Callithrix jacchus: one gene and its partner. The protein of the gene in region 2 purifies or fractionates together with the protein of the main gene of each other region. This does not show direct contact. Links are inferred from orthologs where the notes say so. Each region holds a gene or a part of one and is shown on either strand. Other genes may lie near its edges.

What was found.
Region 1: the proteins of DACH1 (region 2) and JUN purify together in Homo sapiens (affinity purification with western blotting; 3 studies listed by BioGRID and IntAct, with this or other methods). This does not show direct contact. The link is inferred for Callithrix jacchus from reciprocal best matches to the Homo sapiens genes DACH1 and JUN.

Annotation. Positions count from the first base shown.
Region 1 is NC_133508.1:95,862,746-95,868,911, reverse strand, and holds JUN (transcription factor Jun), read left to right. Parts: upstream 1-2,163; 5' UTR 2,164-3,134; coding exon 3,135-4,139; 3' UTR 4,140-5,417; downstream 5,418-6,166. Other genes in the region: uncharacterized protein LOC128928178, read right to left, coding at 892-893. UniProt on the Homo sapiens protein: Transcription factor that recognizes and binds to the AP-1 consensus motif 5'-TGA[GC]TCA-3'.
Region 2 is NC_133502.1:43,444,676-43,450,647, reverse strand, and holds the start of DACH1 (dachshund homolog 1), read right to left. Parts: upstream 4,138-5,972; 5' UTR 3,698-4,137; coding exon 2,865-3,697; intron 1,859-2,864; exon of another isoform or gene 1,768-1,858; intron 1-1,767. UniProt on the Homo sapiens protein: Transcription factor that is involved in regulation of organogenesis. Seems to be a regulator of SIX1, SIX6 and probably SIX5.

The DNA of each region.
Region 1 (6,166 bases), on a different chromosome or scaffold from region 2:
CAGATAAGTGTTTAATACATGAAACTTACTTTTATTACTGTTATAAAAAAATTTAGAACAACAGCTCCCTTATTACAACAGAAAATGATTCAGAGCAACAGACAGAAGGAGAATGTTCTCCCCTTGAGGGAAGTAACTGGATCTTGCTATCACTGTATACCTACCCCACCCCCTCCCCAGTTCAGTGCCTGGCTCACAGTAGGCTTTCAGTTACCCTCTGCAGATCACTGAAAGCTAGGTGAGTGCCCGGAGCGAAGAAAAGTTGGCAGGTTTCCCACTGATACCAGCTGCTGTTGGTTTCTGAACACTCAAAGCCGCAAATACCTTAGGGCTGGGGGCAATGAACCCAAGGCTGAATTCCAAGTTCAGAAGCAGTGAAGTCCGAATTTAGAACCTAAGAACTTTAAACTGCTGCAGGTCCAACTTCAAGCCCCAGTTCTAGACAGAGGCCTGGGAAAGAGCTGACTTCTAACCCTGTTCCCCCCTCCTCCTCCCCCTGATGCTTCTCACAGGAAAGTACACCTGGTCCTGCCAAATCGCACTCTTATATCCTGGCATTCCGTTTAGACTTCTGTGAGGATGGAAACTGCGAGGCAGGGGAGGGAAGCGGGCTGTTTGGCCACCACCTCCCTAGTCCTGTAGGCGACCCTGTCACACTAACTCCTGGCAGCCCAGGGAGGTATACTGCATCGGCCCCACCGGCAGATGAGGGACATGAAGCTCAGAGAAGTTCCATGATTTCCTCGTTCCGCACTGTGGCAGCCTGGCCACGAAAGAACCAGGATTCCCGACTTCAAGATTCTTTCCACCACACACTTTCGTCCCTAAGGAGTGGGGGCGGGGGGGGTGGTGGGGAGATAAAATAACAACCGCGGAAAAGGAACCACTTACATGTGTCTAGCGCTTCCTAGAGGCTACCCAGGATATGGGCCCACAACCCGGCCCGGAGTGCAGAGATTTGAAGTCCAGGTTCTATCCCGGGCTCCGAGTTCTACTGCGTGACTTTATGCGAGCGTCCGCCGCCTTCTGGGCTTGTTTTCCCGGAAGCAACACGGCGCAGATGGAGTGTGTGTGTGTGTGTGTGTGTGTGTGCGCGCGCGCGCCTGTGTGTTGAGCGTGCTGTGTTAAGCGTGTGCGTGTTGTCCGGGGGCGGGAGGGGGAGTATACTAACACCGGGCTTCCCCAAGTTTCGGATTGCCTACATGCTTGTTCCCATCTGGACCCTGTTACCCACTAATTGCTCTCACTATAAAAACTGCCCCTCCAAGGCAAAGCTATGAACCCCCGCGTCCCCGGAGGATGAAGAGAGGTGCAACGGAGACTCAGCTGAGCGTTCAGTTTCGGGCAATACAAATTTCTCGGCTTCTATGAGCAGCCAGACGACCCCGCGGACCATCGCTCCTGAACTAGACCAAGACAAAGTTCCGAGCGTTCTCAACTTGGGGGGCCGACTCTCGCGAGACCGCCCCCAAACTTAAGCGCCCTTAGGCTCGCCCCCAACTGGGACTTCACAGAGCCACCTTAAGGGCGGTGCTCCCGCCCCCGGAAGTGCGCGGGGGGGGCCACAGACTTGGATTCTCAGCCTCCTGCCCCGCGCGGTGGCAGACGCCGGCGGATGACTTCGAGCCCCACAAGTGGAGAAACCCCAACCACCCCTCGCCCGCACCCTTGGCCCCCAACAACTGGCCGGGTTCCCTGGCCTCCCGCGTCCCCTTATCCCCTGCATCTCTGCATCCCTGTCCGGAGCCGTGAACTTGAGCGCCCCCCCCCACCCCAGAGACGTTGCGAGCGTCCGCCCGCTCGCGGCAGCCACCGTCACTAGACAGTCAAACCCCAAGACGTCAGCCCACAATGCACCGGGCGGGCCAGCAAAAACGGCCGGGGGAGGAGACCAGGGAAGAGAGGGCCGAGAGGCGTGCGGCAGGGGGAGGGGAGGAGAAAGAAGGGACCGACTGTAGGAGGGCAACGGAGCATTACCTCATCCCGTGAGCCTCCGCGGGCCTAGAGAAGAATCTTCTAGGGTGGAGTCTCCATGGCGACGGGCGGGCCCGCCCCCCTGAGAGCGACGCGAGCCAATGGGAAAGCCTTGGGGTGACATCATGGGCTATTTTTAGGGGTTGACTGGTAGCAGATAAGTGTTGAGCTCGGGCTGGATAAGGGCTCAGAGTTGCACTGAGTGTGGCTGAAGCAGCAAGGCGGGAGTGGAGGTGCGCGGTCTCAGGCAGACAGACAGACACAGCCAGACAGCCAGGACTGCAGTAGAGTCCGAGCTGCAAATCTTTTCTTTTCCATCTTCTCTCCAACTGCCCAGAGCTAGCGCCTGTGGCTCCGGGGCTGGTGTTTCGAGGAGTGCGGGGAGAGCCTGGTCTCCAGCCGCCCCCGGGAGAAGAACCCCGCTGCCCAAGCGCTGCTGACAGCGGCGGAGAGCAGCGGTACCCACGCGCCCGCCGGGGGACGTCGGCGAGCGGCTGCAGCGGCAAAGAACTTTCCCGGCTGGGAGGACCCGGGCCAAGTGGCCCAGAGTCCCGGAGCGAACTTTTGCAAGCCTTTCCTGCGCCTTAGGCTGCTCGACGGCGGTAAAGACCAAAAGGCGTTGGAGAGACGCGCGAGAGAAGGACGTGCGCTCAGCTTCGCTCGCACTGGTTGCTGAACTTGGGCGAGCGCAAGCCGCGGCTGCCGGGCGCCCCCTCCCCCTCGCAGCGGAGGAGGGGACAAGTCGTCGGAGTCCGGGCGGCCGAGACCCGCCGCCGGCTGGCCACTGCGGGGTCCGCACTGATCCGCGCCTCTGGGAGAACCGCCGCTCCTGGAAGTGAGTTCGCCCGCGGGCTCCGAGGAACCGCTGCGACCGAAGATCGCTCAGTGAGTGACCGCGACTTTTCAAAGCCGGGCAGCGCGCGCGAGCCAACAAGTAAGAGTGCGGGAGGCATCTTAATTAACCCTGCGCTCCCAGGAGCGAGTTGGTGAGTAGGGCGCAGCGGGGACGACTGCCAGCAGGCGCGCACGCTCTTAGAGAAACTTTCCCCGCCAAAGGCCCGGGGGGACGCGGGTGTACCCCGCTTGCCAGAGCGCTGTTGCGGCCCCGAAACTTCTGCGCGCAGCCCAAACTAACCTCACGTGAAGTGACGGACTGTTCTATGACTGCAAAGATGGAAACGACCTTCTATGACGATGCCCTCAACGCCTCGTTCCTCCAGTCCGAGAGCGGAGCTTATGGCTACAGTAACCCCAAGATCCTGAAACAGAGTATGACCCTGAACCTGGCCGACCCAGTGGGGAGCCTGAAGCCGCACCTTCGCGCCAAGAACTCGGACCTCCTCACCTCGCCCGACGTGGGGCTGCTCAAGCTGGCGTCTCCCGAGCTGGAGCGCCTCATCATCCAGTCCAGCAATGGGCACATTACCACCACGCCGACCCCCACCCAGTTCTTGTGCCCCAAGAACGTGACAGACGAGCAGGAGGGCTTCGCCGAGGGTTTCGTGCGCGCCCTGGCCGAGCTGCACAGCCAGAACACACATCCCAGCGTCACGTCGGCGGCGCAGCCGGTCAGCGGGGCGGGCATGGTGGCTCCCGCGGTGGCCTCGGTGGCGGGGGGCAGTGGCAGCGGCGGCTTCAGCGCCAGCCTGCACAGCGAGCCGCCGGTCTACGCCAACCTCAGCAACTTCAACCCCGGAGCGCTGAGCAGCGGCGGCGGGGCGCCCTCCTACGGCGCGGCCGGCCTGGCCTTTCCCGCGCAACCCCAGCAGCAGCAGCAGCCGCCGCAGCCGCCCCACCACTTGCCCCAGCAGATGCCGGTGCAGCACCCGCGACTGCAGGCCCTGAAGGAGGAGCCTCAGACAGTGCCCGAGATGCCCGGCGAGACGCCGCCCCTGTCCCCCATCGACATGGAGTCCCAGGAGCGGATCAAGGCAGAGAGGAAGCGCATGAGGAACCGCATCGCTGCCTCCAAGTGCCGAAAAAGGAAGCTGGAGAGAATCGCCCGGCTGGAGGAAAAAGTGAAAACCTTGAAAGCTCAGAACTCGGAGCTGGCGTCCACGGCCAACATGCTCAGGGAACAGGTGGCACAGCTTAAACAGAAAGTCATGAACCACGTTAACAGTGGGTGCCAACTCATGCTAACGCAGCAGTTGCAAACGTTTTGAAGAGAGACTGTCGGGGACTGAGGGGCAACGGAGAAAAAAATAACAGAGACAGACTTGAGAACTTGACAAGTTGCAGCGGAGAGGAAAAAGAAGTGTCCGAGAACTAAAGCCAAGGGTATCCAAGTTGGACTGGGTTGCGTCCTGACGGCGCCCCCAGTGTGCACGAGTGGGAAGGACTTGGCGCGCACTCCCTTGGCGTGGAGCCAGGGAGCGGCCGTCTGCGGGCTGCCCGGCTTTGCGGATGGGCTGTCCCCGCGCGAACGGAACGTTAGACTTTTCGTTAACATTGACCAAGAACTGCATGGACCTAACATTCGATCTCATTCAGTATTAAAGGGGGGAGGGGGAGGGGGTTACAAACTGCAATAGAGACTGTAGATTGCTTCTGTAGTACTCCTTAAGAACACAAAGCGTGGGGGGGAGGGTTGGGGAGGGGCGGCTGGAGGGAGGTTTGTGAGAGCGAGGCTGAGCCTGCAGATGAACTCTTTCTGGCCTGCCTTCGTTAACTGTGTATGTACATATATATTTTTTTTAATTTGATGAAAGCTGATTACTGTCAATAAACAGCTTCATGCCTTTGTAAGTTATTTCTTGTTTGTTTGTTTGGGTGTCCTGCCCAGTGTTGTTTGTAAATAAGAGATTTGGAGCACTCTGAGTTTACCATTTGTAATAAAGTATATAATTTTTTTATGTTTTGTTTCTGAAAATTCCAGAAAGGATATTTAAGAAAATGCAATAAACTATTGAAAAGTACTCCCCTAACCTCTTTTCTGCATCATCTATAGATACTAGCTATCTAAGTGGAGTTGAAAGTTAAGAATGTCAATTAAAATCTCTCTCAGTGCTTCTTACTATCAAGCAGTAAAAACTGTTCTCTATTAGACTTTAGAAATAAATGTACCTGATGCTATGGTCAGGTTATATACTCTTCCCCCAGCTGTCTATATGGAATTGCTTACCAAAGGATGGTTCGATGTTTCAGGAGGCTGGAAGAACGGGTTGGGGGGTTGCAGTGAAGAGGGACGGCCCACTGGGAACTCAAACATTTCAAAGTTTGAGATTGTATCAAGTGGCATGTGCTGTGACCATTTATAATGTTAGTAGAAATTTAACAATAGATGCTTATTCTCAAAGCCAGAATAGGTGGCAGATTTTACAAAAAATGTATCCTTCCAATTTGGAATCTTCTCTTTGACAATTCCTAGATAAAAAAGATGGCCTTTGCTTATGAATATTTATAACAGCATTCTTGTCACAATAAATGTATTCAAATACCAATAACGATCTTGAATTGCTTCCCTTTACTACTTTTTTCTTCCCAAGTTACATACTGAAGCATTTCTTTTCAGTTGCTGAGGTTAACATTGCTGCAATCTGAAGTGTGACTCGTAAGTTAAGAAGCAAAATATTTAGGGAAAGTCAAACTAGAAGTGGTGATCTGGATGAAACAGTTTCCCAATTTCATTAATCCCCCTGCCCTTTCTCCATCTCTGTCTCTCTCTCTACTACCACCCCTCACCCCCAAATAAACACCTATGTCTAAGGAAACTAGCAGTTTAGCATTTTAGATCTGTCTATAGTTTATTTCTTAATTTGTTTCTAAAATAACCTTGTTTAAATAATTAGAGAATCAGTCTCAAAAGACAGTAATCCAATACTATGGTAAAGATTCGCAAGAGAAAACATGAACACCAACACAATGATTACATGTGTAAATCAAACCCCAGCTCTGGGAAACGAGAAACTTAAATTCTGTCTACAGATATAACTTAGGAGATCAACGAGGCAGTGCTCAACAAGGGAGCAATTTTTTGCTTGGTTGCTTTTCATCCCAAGAGCCAGTGTGATTATCAGGCAGCAAAAGCAATGTGATATCCAGGAATATTTCACAAACCACTAATTGAGGCAGGGCTGTTTGCTCATTAGCAGTGTTCTGGTATCTAACAGGTCTGGGAGTGCTAATATCCTGCCTGTGGCTGTAAATCCAAATACACAAAGAGTTTCTCCTTAGGAGTATATCTAGGAGT
Region 2 (5,972 bases):
GTGAAAGAAATCAGTACATCTAGGTGAATAAAAAAGGTTCTTCATAGCAAAGATATAAACTGGACTTGAATGAAAAAAGTAATCATAGTTTTACAAATAAAAGATGCAAAACATTTCAAAGCTTTGAAAGGTAAGAAATAAGACAATAATGCTTATAATTATCATTAAAGACAGTAATATAAAGTAAACAGTATATTTGGTGAGAGGGAAGTTCCATTATAAGTTCTCAATTTCTTCAATCAGTGGCAGAGTTAGGAAAACCAAGGTAGGTATTTGCAACTAAATACATTCTCAAGTTAATGACTACAGCATTTGCATGTATTTAAGTTTGGGTAAGCTTTTTAGTTGATATATAATCAAATTCAATATTAAATGAACAAACTTCTCATATTTAACTTAAAAATAACTTAAAATAGGGTTTTAGAGCAACGCATGCAATTGCAAATTATTAAGGCCAGGTGATTGAAACATAATTACAGTAGTGATGAGATATTTGTGAAGAGATCAACAGTTCCACTGGATTTAACTCATCTTGGCTCTGCAAGTTTAAACTCCAGATCTGTTGTTAACCTCAGGGGGAAAAAACTTGAAAAAAATTTTAGTTAATAACTTTAAGAATATTCTCCAACCATATGGTGAGGACTTCAAATCTAGGCAGAAGTTCAGGTAAAAAATCAAGTTTAACATTAATTATAACATTTATTATAAAGCAGTCATTGAAGGAAGTTTTATCCAGCAATTGTGTGTATCTGTGTGTATGTGAAATGGCCTTTAATTACCTAGTGTCTAGTGTGCTGTAAGAAACACAGTAAGAGGATTCCGAGGAGAGTAGATGTTTGATTACTAAAGAATAAAAATAGGTAGCGATTCACCAATTTACTGGATAGGCAGATAATTTTTTAACAATAATATCTAAACTAGCTTCAAATTTCACCCAGCTTTTTTCATAACTCCGGATCAATTTTTCTGCCCTGATTCTAATCGTTTTAACATAGATTTTGGGCAAATATTTATATTCTGCATGACCAAGAACTCCAATGATCTGAGTAAGTGGCGTTTAGTGATCTTGGTTCCACAAGCCCCACCCCCCCCAATCTTTACTGCCACCTGTCCATACATTTGAGCGCGAGTGCACACACGCACACACACACACACACACACACACACACACACATACACAGCATTTACCCCAAAAGAGTCGAAGGTTCAAAGCCCAAACACACCCATGTCCCATGGAATGAAGGGTACCTAAACACGGAAAAGAATTTCTGGCTAGGTCAGGATAGGACAATTGCTGGACTGGAATTCGAATCTTTTTCGTTTCACAGTCTTCCCGGGCGCTAAGCTAGGAGTCTTCCTCCGTGGAAAAAACTAGCGCTTTTTCATCCCAATGTCCTTCTGGTCTCCTTGTTACACTTCCTTCCTTCCCACCTCAGTTTCCCTGGCTCTGCGGGGGCACACACCAACTCCGCTCCTCCTCTCAACCTTCAAACTTATTTAGAGGGTACCGAAGTTTCCGCGCAAATTTTGCGCGCAGTTCCCACGTGCCTGCTTCAAGTCTTCAACTTTCCCTATTCTCTTTCTCCCGGCATCTGTCTGAACTTTTGCGTCTGCGCTTCCAGGCAGCGAACCGTAGGGACAAAGCGGAGCTGTGAAAGGGGGTGGAATGATCGTCTCTACCCCGAAACTGACAGGTTGCCCCACTCCCGCCCCCTCCCGGTAGATCTTCCCCCACTGAGCCTTCATTAGCATAAAACTGGTCTGGCTGGGGACCCGTCCCGCCGCCGTCTCCGTGCGCGCGCTTTGCTGGGCTGGGGAAGCCAAGGCACAGAGTAGCAGGCCCGCTGAGCATCTCAGTGTAAGTGTGCACCTGATCGCTGCGTAAGCTACTACCCTTTAAGAAAAGAAAAGAGAGAGAAATATAGAAAGAAAACACTTTGGAGAGAAAGAGACAGAGATCGAGAGACAGCGCGCTTCCGTCGCTTTCCTTCCCAATCTCTCCAGTTCAGCTTCCATTGAGTCTCGGGCACTCGGTCACCTCCCCCTACCGAGGAAAACCTGCTGGTGCCCTCGCATCTGCCCCGGGGCCACCGAATCCCCTTATTTCCTTTGCACACTCGCTCACACGCAGACACAGGCACACATGCGCGAACACACAGACCCCTCCCCTCGGCGGGCTTCCCCTCCAGACTTCGTAGCTCAACTCCCCGGAGCTCAACCCCCCGGGAAGGTCCGGATCTCTCAGCCTCGCCGGTCGTTTCCCTCCCGACCTCAAAGTGCCCTCCTCTGCTGCAGGCGGGCTCCCTCGCCTTTCCCAGCGGGCCCCTCACCCGGAGCACGTCTCCCCGCTCCCCAAGCCCTGCGGGGCAGGTCACGACCTCTCCCCGCCCCCAGGACGCCGCTCGGCGCCACCGACCAGCCCCATCGGTGCCGGGAGGCTGGCGAAGGAGCCCAGGCCATGGGGAGCGCACGAAAGCCGGCCGTAGCTCCGAGAGGTGTCCCCAGGCACCCGCGCGCCCGGGGCAGGGGGCTGTGGCTGCAGGAAAGGCGCCGTCTTTCTCCCTCTAGTCCCCTCCGCCCTGAGGCTAAGAGTTCCCGCGTCCCACTACAGCTCATCCCCGGGACGCAGCGGGCAAGGGGGCGGACCGGGCCCAAGACCGAGGTCTGGGTAGGGTGAGGTGCCAACTTCTCAGGGGGTTGGGCGCGGCGGGTGAGCCCCGAGCAGGGAGAGGAGAGGGCCGCGCTCGCATGGGCACGCGACTCGCGGGCGCGCGGAGCGAGCGGCGCCGGGAAGGGAGCGAGGGTATGGCGAGCAGGCGGGTGGGAAGGGGCTCGGGTGGCGGAGGCTACCCCCCGCTACTCACCTTGCGTTGGTGCAGTCATTGTAGAGGGTCTCGAAGTCCTTCCTGGAGATGAGTTTGCAGCGGTTCACTCCGGGCTGGATGGCGCCCAGTCCCCTCAGGATGCGAACCTGTTCCACATTGCACACCACCGGCGTGATCTCCAGCCGCTTCAGCTTGGTGTAGACTGTGTGCAAGCCCCCCACCAAGTGCTTCAGGAACAGGTCGAAAGCCTGGGGCAGGCAGATCAGCTCGCAGCCCTCCACCGTGAAGGAAGCCACTTTGGCCCCCCTCAGATCCACCATTTTGCACTCATTATTCTGGGGGGTGTTTTCCACTGGGGACGGGGTTGAGTACACGGGTTTCCCGGGGAGGGGGCCGCAGCTGCTGCTGCTGCTGCTGCTGCTGCTGCTGCTACTGCTACTGCTGCTGCTGCTGCTACTGCTGCTGCTGCTGCTGCTGCCGGTGCTCGCGTTGATGGGGGTGCTGGAGGCGACGCCGCCGCTAGCGCTGATGCTGCCGCCGCCGCCGCCGCTGGTGTTGCTCGCGGCCGCCAGGCTGGGGTTGCAGTTGCTGCCACCGCCGCCTCCATTGCCGCCGCTGCCGCCGCCGCCTCCACTGCCTCCGCCGCCGCCACCGCCGGTAGAAGTGACTGTGGCCGCCGCTGCCGCCGAAGCGATGGGCTCCGGGCGGAACAGAGTTGGCCCAGAGGACGCCGGGGGTCCGATGGAAGGAGCCGGAGACGAAGTCGCCGAAGAGGTGGAGGTGGTGGTGCCAGAGGAGGAAGCAGACGTGGAGATTGGGGGTTGAGGGGGGACCAGCTGGGTCGGAGGGATCAAAGCCGCCGGCACTGCCATGGTCACATATAAGGGGAAGCAGACGGAGGAGAAGCGAGGGGAAAAGTTGCCACACACCCCGGGAGGGGAAGGGGAAAAAAGGGGGGAGAAGGAGCGAGGGGGGCAACAACAACAACTCCAGGAGAGAACGAGAAGGAGAAAGGGAGAGAAGGGGGAGAAAAGGAGGTGAAGGTGATAAAGAGCGAGCGCAGGAGGGGCGAGCACGAGAGGCGCTCTGGAGAGAAACGCACAAAAGTGTCCCGCAAGTCGAAATGCGAGTCCTCTCCGGGGGCTGGGATGGAGGGCTGGTTTGGGGGGGTGGGGGCGGGGGCGGGGAGGGTCGGCTGTTGTTGTGTGGGTCCCGCTCTAGCACAAAGTTAAGGATGAAGGTGAAAAGGAGGAGGTTTGAAGGACTTGGGCTCTCCCTGGCAAGTACATTGATCAAAGATTGAGAGGCGAATGACAGAGAGAAAATGAGCTGAAAAGTGCAGGCTGCCGGCTGGACGAGTTGTTGTTGTCACACGGTGCAGAGGGGAGGAGCTCCGGAAACTTGAAATACCCTTTGAAGCCGCAAAAACCTCACTCACTAGTATTAACCCAAATTATCCAACCAGGAACTCGGAGCAGAGACTCCGAGAGCGCGAGACACTGGAGAGGGAGCGTGCGAGGAAAGGAGGAGGGGAGGGGGAGGATAAAGAAAGAAACTGTGGGAGGAACGGAGAGGAAAAGCCGGGGACGCAGAAGTGGCGATCGGAAAAGGAGAGGGAGATCTTCCACTTCTCTTCTATACTACCGTTAGATTGCATGTCTCACATTGCATTTCGTCCGCGGCGACTGGTAATTTTTTCCAAAGCTTCTAAACAATCGCCTGCCAACTTAAAGACGAGCCAGAGCGCCCCGAGCTTGCTCCTTCAAGGATTTAGGATCCATCTCCAGGCGTTTTGGCAATGAGATAGAAAGGAAAACAGCCCCCACTTCATGATTATTCAGAAACTATTTTGAGGAAAATTCACATGTAAGCAAAGCGTAATATTCTTTTGCATCTGATTGTTTTATTTCTCTACTAAATCATTTATTTATATAAAGGTAGTGAAAATTCCAGGGCAATTTTCAAGTGGTGGGAAGTCAGTCAGAAATCGCTTAAGAATAATGGAAAGCTGTATTCAATTCCCTATTTCTTAATATGCTGTGGAAAGAAATGCTTGTCCTGATGTGCATGATTTAGAATAACTTCACTGTCGCCCCAAAAGCAAGTCAGAAATACCGCTTATACTTAGAGAGATCAAGGAGATAAGGCATCCTTGAAGATTTAGAAAGTGGAAAAAGGCTTTTCTTACTCAAAACTCTATAATTAATTCACCTGTCTTACACAGTAACCAACTATCCTCATTGTCCTTTAAGACCCAAGGCCAGTGGTTAATGTGTTTTTTGGACAACACAATAGTTTTGTTTTTTGTTTTTTTTTTCCATGTTTGAAAAGTGCTGCTGTAGTTTTGCAAAGTCCTTTCCAATTTGTCAATAATAGATGTTTTGTAAATAATGAGAACAAAAACAGCTCACTAGTTGACTTGTAAAGACTTCGGTAGCTGTGCTTAAAAAAACGTGAGGCTGAGTTTAGACTGACTCTTCCTCCTTTCCTTTTCTTCTGTTTTCTAACTTGTTGCATCGAGCTATTTATTCAAGGATTTTTGACTCACATATGATTTGAACATAGGTCAAATCTATTTGCTGCTCATATCTTCAAGTATCTTCACTTACTTAGGCTTGGAACTGGTCTACGCATGTTCAGTAAGTTCTTAAGATGTGAAGCAATGCTTTAGCATTTGACGGATTTTTAAAATAAACTATTAGTAGCAGGTTCAGAATGTTGGGAAATTTTAAAACAAAATTTTCGCCATTCTGGTGTTGAAATGATCACATTTCTCTTTACCATTTTAATCCTTTGAACTCTGACTTGTAGTGTCAAAAAGTGCAGGAACTGTTTACCAAGAAATAGAAATATGACACTATGGACTAATTAGTGTACAATTATGCTAAACATTTTGGGACATAGCAGTTAAATCAGGAGGCTTTCCTGGGAGATAAAACTTCAGAAAGTCGATTGTTGCAGAAAAGTCCATAAACTTCTTCAAGGACTGCTGAAGTTTACACAATTGTTTGGCCTGGTTAATCAATGTATTTTAATATATTCAGAAATAATTTTATTAATATTTTAGTTTTCAAATTTATCAGGTAAAAGTAGGAATTCAATATATGTCACGAACACCAAAACACTTCTGTAAGTTTTTTGCTTGTT